Macaca mulatta: one gene and its partner. The protein of the gene in region 1 interacts with the protein of each later gene in a pairwise test. Links are inferred from orthologs where the notes say so. Each region holds a gene or a part of one and is shown on either strand. Other genes may lie near its edges. The genes, in order: CASK and TBR1.

Region 1 (2,988 bases):
TGAAATGCCTGTGAAAGAGGACAAAACAGGTAGGACATTCTTGGTTCAGAGCGCCCTGAGAGAAAAGATTGCGTTCCCATCTGCTGTGGTGTCTGTGCATGCCCACTGCAGGGCCAGGACAGAATCAAGCAAGTCTCTTTATCTTACTTCTAGTCCCCTTTCTTGAGAGCTGTACCCAGAGAGCTGAGGCTTGCCTGGACCTCCCAGCAGCCTCACCAGGAAGGGTCTCTTGCCAATAACAGAGGGGCCTTAGAGAAGAGGAGGGGAGGGGCCCTAAGCCAGTACTGGGCACTACGGCTCCTAGGTCCTTGAAGATACTGCATCTTTTATTTTCTCTGGAGATCTTTTTCTGTCACCTGGGGGGCCCCCATTTCTGGGAAGAATTGCTCAGTCTCTTGATTTTAGATTTAATACTTGTAAAACCCTATAATGACTGGCACTAGTCAGACAAGTGCTTGTTCTTTTGACAGCATTTATTAAGCACTTACTATGTGTAAGGCACTATGCCTAATGCTGGGGCACAGCAATTACAGGGCACACAAGACAAGTTTATAGCTGGAGACAGAGCCACTCATCAAATAAAGAGGTATTTCATTATCTCTATGTATATTTGAGACTCAGCCCAAGAGCTCACCCACCTAGTGTTTGGCAGGTAGGGTTAATTTGACTCACAAAGTTCCCTAGTGTCAAGGTTGAACTTGCCCTTTGGGAGTTCAGCATGACAAATTTGACTCATGAAGATATAGAGGCAGACTTCTTTCTGGTGGCTCTTAAGAGACCCCTATCTTGAAAGAACTGCCACTCTGTAGCGGAAGCTACACTTGCGTGACAAAGCTGGGACCTAAACTCCCTCCTCCTGTTGGATCCCTCTTGCGAGAGTTCTTAAAATCTGTGGCAAGCTGCAGCTTAGGGAACATCCTTTGTTGCAGCAAACCTCTCTAGAGTTCAGCAGCTTCTCTTCCTTTGGTTTTTTTCATAAGAGATACGAGGACCTGTGAACAGTGACATTTGTCCAGCCATTTCTAATGCAGACCACTTTGGGGGGATTCATCAGATGCCAGGTGCTGTTTGTTGGGGAAACAGCCTTATTCCGGCCATTATTTGTAACACTCAAAGAGCTTTTGCCTCTGGCATCAGCTGCTATTGAGTGAGGGCCATTATATGTCATTGAATTCCTGGAACGGTGGCACCTTTAAGTACAAGAGGAAAAAATACAACTTAATTTGTCATCCAAGGGCAGGGACTTGCTGGTGCAAACCCAGCTGGGCCCTGAGGCCTGGCTCCAGTGAGTGTGGAGGACCAAGGGGAGGGGGGCAAAGAGCTCGGGCCTTGCCACAATCTCCCTCTCCCAATTGGGAGAGTGGCTTGAGGCTAGGGCGGGGGCTTCCTGTGGGCCTGTTTGGGCCACCATAGCCACTCTAACCCATACCTGGCATGGCCCTGCCAAGCCTGACTCTGGGGACAGGCATAGCTAGGCCTGAGTGGGGGTGGCATGTTTCCTGAAGAGTGTCTGTTTTCTCTGGTTCGTCTGCTTTGTCATGGACCCTCTGTTGCATGTTGAGCAATCACTGTCTCCTCTGTCATGGAGCGGACTTGGCCTCATGCTGGAATACGGCATGTCAGGGTCTGGCCTTGACTGTTTCTGACACTGGGATGAACAAAAATGTGAAAAGAAAATGAATCCAACTGATTTCTCTCTTCTGTTTGCTTTTCCTCCTCTCATGCCCACCCCTACCTCCATCTCATCACCATTTAGGATGAATCTCTTCAGCGTCTGCAGAAGGAGTCTGACATCTTACAGAGAACATATGCACACTACTTCGATCTCACAATTATCAACAATGAAATTGATGAGACAATCAGACATCTGGAGGAAGCTGTTGAGCTCGTGTGCACAGCCCCACAGTGGGTCCCTGTCTCCTGGGTCTATTAGGCCTCTCCCCAGATATCTGAGCATAACTGGGAGCACCTCATACGTGGAAAAGCCTCTTTGTTATCGGCCTTGTGTCAGCAGGTCATGGTCCCTAGAGACTACCTAGTTGTAGTGTGACCTACATTTATAATTATTGTCATGTCCGAATAGATAGGAGGAGAAAAACAATTACACACTAATTTAAAGAGACAGTATCTTTTTTAATCAGTTCTCCTAAACTTTAATAAAATGTATCTTTAAATGTATGTATTATTCAATCCTTTGGAATGTTATATTTTTGGAAATCATAGCTTTTTATTTCCAAGGCCCCTAAAAACTGCACAAAATAGATGCTGCTTTCTATAATCTATTTTAATAATAATAAACAATGATTCTGTTACCTTGACTGGGGGTGGAACACTACATTCTTTTTAGAGTCTGATTTTATGGATTGGAATATCTTTCTTTCCTTTATTTATTTGAAATAATTAGTGTAGTGATTACAAAACAGTCATAAATTTTTAAAGGCCTTTTTTCTCTTTTTTTTTTTTTTTTTTAGAATAGTATTTTTTTTTAAGTCCTTTATGTAACATCCAGATAATGTGATACTGTCTCTTTGAAGCACCCTGTAAACCTTTTAGAGATTTGAAGTTGGGTCTTGACTCTTAATGCATGTGGACAGTCGCGAGCGTTTATGCTGTCGGTGTGTCTGTGTTGGACAAAACAATCTGTAATCTACAGCAAAGTACATTCTACATTCCGTTCATGGGGCACACCCAGGGGAATAAGAATAAAATGCTATTATGACTAAGTTGTAAACCTATGCACATCCCTTGCATTTTGGGCAACTTTATAAAAAAAAAAAAAGAAACTGATTTTTATTAATAATAATCATGTAGTGAAATGTGTTTGTAATTTTGTCTCAATTTAATTTGTTGTAAGGTGGGGGGGAATTGCTGGTTTCACCATTTCAGATCTGTGTTGTCTAAGAGTATTAACGTTTTAATTAAGCAAAGAAATGAGGATTTTTAATCTGTATGTAATTGTTTTAAAGCACCCATTTTAAGAGAAAATAC
Region 2 (4,349 bases), on another chromosome or scaffold:
GGGTAACCCGCGACGAAAACAAATAGAAAGCATTTTCCCACCGGCTTGGTGTTTAGGAAAGGTGCCGTGGGCAGGCCCCTAGCCCTAGGCCTTAAAACGCACAGCGGAGCCAGCTGTTGCTGATGTTAGCGCTGCTAGTACCCTAGACCTGCATGGCGGGAGGATGTGAGAGGGTAGGAGAGAGATGTCTGTGCCGCCCGCCTCGCGCCCAGCCCCTAGGTCTCCTTACATCCGTGTTCTGGTAGGCGGTGACGGCGATGAACTGAGTCTCAGGGAAAGTGAATGTCTGCACGCGGCCGGGCTGGCTGGTGTCCTCCGTGCCGTCCTCGTTCACTTCCACCACATGCAGGCGGGGCTGGTACTTGTGCAAGGACTGTAAAACCACCATCTGTCCGGCGGAAAGAAAGGGGAGCGCCGGGTGGCGTGTTAACGCGATCGCTGTGCGCGTGGCTGTGTGCGCCCCGCTGCGCGCCCGGACTGGCGGAGGCAGCCTGCAGCCAGCCTCCCAGGCTCACTGACCGCGGGACTCGCCTGGCTGGCGGCTGACTGGCTGGGGCAGACCGGCCTTCGCACCTCTGGGAGCGAAGATAAGCCGGGGCACCGGAGAAAAGGGGGAAGCCGACCGCCCGATCCTCAGGGCCCTTCTCCTAGTCCTCCTGTAAGGAGGAACAAAGATTTCCACAACCTGCAGATCTTGTGGGGTTTCTTCTCAAAATCAATCAGTATTAGTACTTGGGAAGGTCGGGCACTCCAAAATTGGGCCGACGGGGGTGTTGTCAATGAGAACAACTTCATAAATTTAACATAAATTTGGAGGGTGGAAATCCAATTTTTAAGTCTTTTTAATGAAGCAAAGAAACGTGTATCCAGTTCCATATGCTGCTTTGCACTGACGAACTGGATGTCAGGGAGGAAGGGGTGAGAGAGAACACGAGCGCTTGAGCCACTGACCTGCCCATTGTTATTTGAAGCTCCTTTGTTGTTCGTAAGTTTTAATTTTCCAAAAGAGATTTCTTGGCGCATCCAGTGAGCCCCAGTGTTGGGGGAATCCGGATGCATATAGACCCGATTTCCTAGAGAAAGAAATACGTTGTTTACATATGCCCCCGGCACTGCCCAGTCCCAGCTCCTCACCACGTAGGACACACACACACACACACACACACACACACACACACACACACACACCTTACTCCACCGTGAAGCCCATTAGCTGGGGCTTTTTTAGGCCGTTCTTTCTTCCTATTAACTGGGGGTGATTAAAATAGCTTTTGCATAATCCTCCCCCTTCTCGCAGCTCAGTCTGTCCCCCTGTCCCCCTCGTTTCCTTTTAGAAGTCATTGGCCGATCGTTTTAAAAGTCGCTCGAGCCAGTCCACAAAGGCTTTAATTAATCATTCTCACCTAAATAAGTGTCAAGAAAATGTGTTAATTGGAAGGACTTGCCTTGCACATTGGTGTCCGCTTTGCCGCAAGGAACCCATTTGCCTCCTTGAAACCTCCAGTGATTGGGATCCGCCAAAATCACATCCACAAAAATATTGTAATGAGCCGTGGGATCGAGACCAGAAATGTTAAAACTTAAAAAAGGAAACATGCGCCTATTTAAATTAAGGGGTGGGGGGAGAAAACAAGGAAAAAAGAAACATAAATGTTAAAGATTAAATGCAAGAAGCGGGGCGCCAGATAGCAAAGCAAAACTTGTTCTTGCAGCAGATAGGGACGAATATTTGATGGGTTAGAAAAAGGGTGGTGGGAGAAGAAAAGAAGTGCAACCCAAATCAGGGAGAGCGGCGGGTGAGCTGGAGTGGGAAGGCGGCAGGTATCACTGCCCAGGTGGAGAGAGAGGTTGGCGACCTGCGTCTCCACCTGTCCGTGCATGCCAGTGTTGATGCGTCCCTCCCATCGCCCAGCCGCTGGCCGGGGCTCTTCCTTTTTCTTGCCTTCCTCTGGCCACTGACTGGCTCTCCAACCACGTACCTAGAACGGGGTGCCCCCCACCAACATCCCCGTGGCGGTTATCCCTTCCACTTTCCCCCTTTCCAAAACCAGCCAACTCTAGGGCGCCTTCCACTCCGCTACCGACCCCAAATCGTCGCTGCCGCGGCAGTCACAACCTAGGTGCACTTGTCCCCGGCTGCGCCTGGAGCAGCGGCAGCCAAAAATGTAGTATTACCTTCCCTGTTTGGTGATGATCATCTCCGTTTGGTGCCGGTGAAATTTCAGCCAAAGAGGCCTGTTGCACAGGTACACCTGTGCTTTGCCGGGCACCAGCCCCGGCTGGGTGGAGGAGAACTGGTAGAACGGAGCTCCTTGGTAGGAGTGGCCGTACTGCTGTGGGTAGGGGTAGCCGGCCGTGGGGTATCCCTGCGGCGAGGAGTTGGACAGGAGGCTGTTGTAGGCTCCGTTGGTGATGACCGGGTGGTGGGCCATGTAGCGGCTGGGGCTGCCGATGGAGAAGGCGGGGTGCGCCGGTCCGTGCTGGCCGGGGTACGGGAACATGGCACTGGGAGCAGTGGCCGCAGACTGTGGCTGGCTGGACTGAGAGAGGAGGTAGCGATCTGCAGCAGAGCCATCGAAACTGTGACGAAGCTCAGAGACCCCGTCCAAGACAGGAGAGAGTTTACTTCTCTGGACGTCCCCTGGTGAGTCCTTGGAGTCAGGAAAATTGTCTGTATCTGACTGATTCGTCATCCCCCTGGTAATTTTTTTCAAAGGTGAACTTCTCTCCAGGTTGTCAGTGGTCGAGATAATGGGATGATCGTGCAAGACAAGCTCGGATCCGCCTGAATGTGGGTAGCTGCTGCTCACATTGAGAAATTTCTTGGAGAGCATGATAGAAGGAGAAAGGCAGTGCTCCAGCTGCATAGCTCTAGAACCTGAACACTCGCCCTCCCGTCCCTGGTTTTTAAAGTCCTATTTATCATAAACTAGAAATCCACAGACCCCCTCACTAGACAGAAAGCACTTCAACCAGCAAATGCTTCTCAAAGGTTTGATTTACTTTTTTTTTCCCTGGGAGAAGAGATTGGCCAATTGACACTATGCAGCAATCAGAAAAGGCTCACTTTTGATCTTGCTGCTTGTGCTGCCGATGAAACGGCTCCTGCCATTGGTTAACTGCTGACAGTAATTTAATTAGATAGACATTAATTAGGATAATCACCTGGCTCCTGGTAGCGACGATCATGGCAAATTGAAGGGGATGATTTTATTGTTGGCTTGGGGGGTGGGGAATGTGTGTTGGTTTACGTGAGCACTGTTGTGTCACCTTTAAGCTTTGTGACCACTGCTTTAGGAAGATTCAAAGATGTGCAATTTACTAAACATTTCCTACCTTCCCCCCCTTCCCCCATTTAGAGCGGAGGGGCGGAGGAGGGAATTCGACGATGCTAGGAGACTTTTCGGATCTGAATGAGCCAAATATTCAGTTGAATGTAACGATTTCAAGTGCAAAGTATACAAAGCGCGAGCCGGTGGCCTCTTCTCGCCCTGTAAAAGTTCCAGAGTCTGTCTTTTCCAGCTAATACAAAAGCACACAACACCTGAGCTGGTGCTTTGTGAGCAGGTCCTACGTGTCCTCGGCGCCCCCACCCCCACCTTTTAAACTGCAAACATAAATAAATAAATCCCTGCTGCTGAGAGCCACAGCGACAAGCAGAAGGGGGGGAGAAGAGGGGGCGAAAAGCAGCAACTCACCCACCAATCCACCCACCTCAGGAAGGTTCGGTTTCTTGTTTGAGCACAGAAACAGTGACAATCTATGATCTCCTTTTTAAGTTTTGAAATAATCATAAGCTGTCGGGCTAAAATGCCTTAATGTATTTGCAGTGATGTTTACCAGGTCTTTACTAAATATTTTATCAGCGAACTTGGTTGCAGATTATCTGAAGAGCATCTAACTGGGGGTAGGCGCCATGCATCCTTCTCGTCCCTCTGTATATCCTTCTCTCTGAGGTACTGGCTTGGCGACAGGTTCAAAAGCTTCGCCAGGAAAAGAGAGGGCCGAGTCCCCGTGCAAATGGGCTCGTCAGAAGCGCTGATCTGGGGAGACAGAGTGGAAGTGGTGTCAACACAGTAATCGCTACTGAAAACGTGTGTGTGTGTGTGTGTGTGTGTGTGTGTGTGTGTGTGTGTGTGTGTGTTTAATGTTTATATAATCTGGAGGGGAGAAAAAGCATCCATGCCAGTAATTTTAAAAGGAAAAAGAATCTAAAGAGGAATAGAAAAAAACCAATTTAAAAGGATGTTGGCACAAATAAATAGCACGAGGCCCAAAGAGACCCCGAGGTGTAGGAAGGAGGTCTCTCAGCATCCGCTCTACAGAGGAGCCCAGCCCTCGGCCTGAGC

Evidence for each region.
Region 2: the proteins of CASK (region 1) and TBR1 interact in a two-hybrid assay, tested with the Homo sapiens proteins (2 studies listed by BioGRID and IntAct). The link is inferred for Macaca mulatta from reciprocal best matches to the Homo sapiens genes CASK and TBR1.

Annotation. Positions count from the first base shown.
Region 1 is NC_133426.1:41,434,653-41,437,640, reverse strand, and holds the end of CASK (peripheral plasma membrane protein CASK), read left to right. Parts: intron 1-1,756; coding exon 1,757-1,933; 3' UTR 1,934-2,468; downstream 2,469-2,988. UniProt on the Homo sapiens protein: Multidomain scaffolding Mg(2+)-independent protein kinase that catalyzes the phosphotransfer from ATP to proteins such as NRXN1, and plays a role in synaptic transmembrane protein anchoring and ion channel trafficking.
Region 2 is NC_133417.1:66,229,724-66,234,072, reverse strand, and holds the start of TBR1 (T-box brain protein 1), read right to left. Parts: upstream 2,982-4,349; 5' UTR 2,868-2,981; coding exon 2,176-2,867; intron 1,601-2,175; coding exon 1,446-1,600; intron 1,074-1,445; coding exon 952-1,073; intron 389-951; coding exon 230-388; intron 1-229. UniProt on the Homo sapiens protein: Transcriptional repressor involved in multiple aspects of cortical development, including neuronal migration, laminar and areal identity, and axonal projection.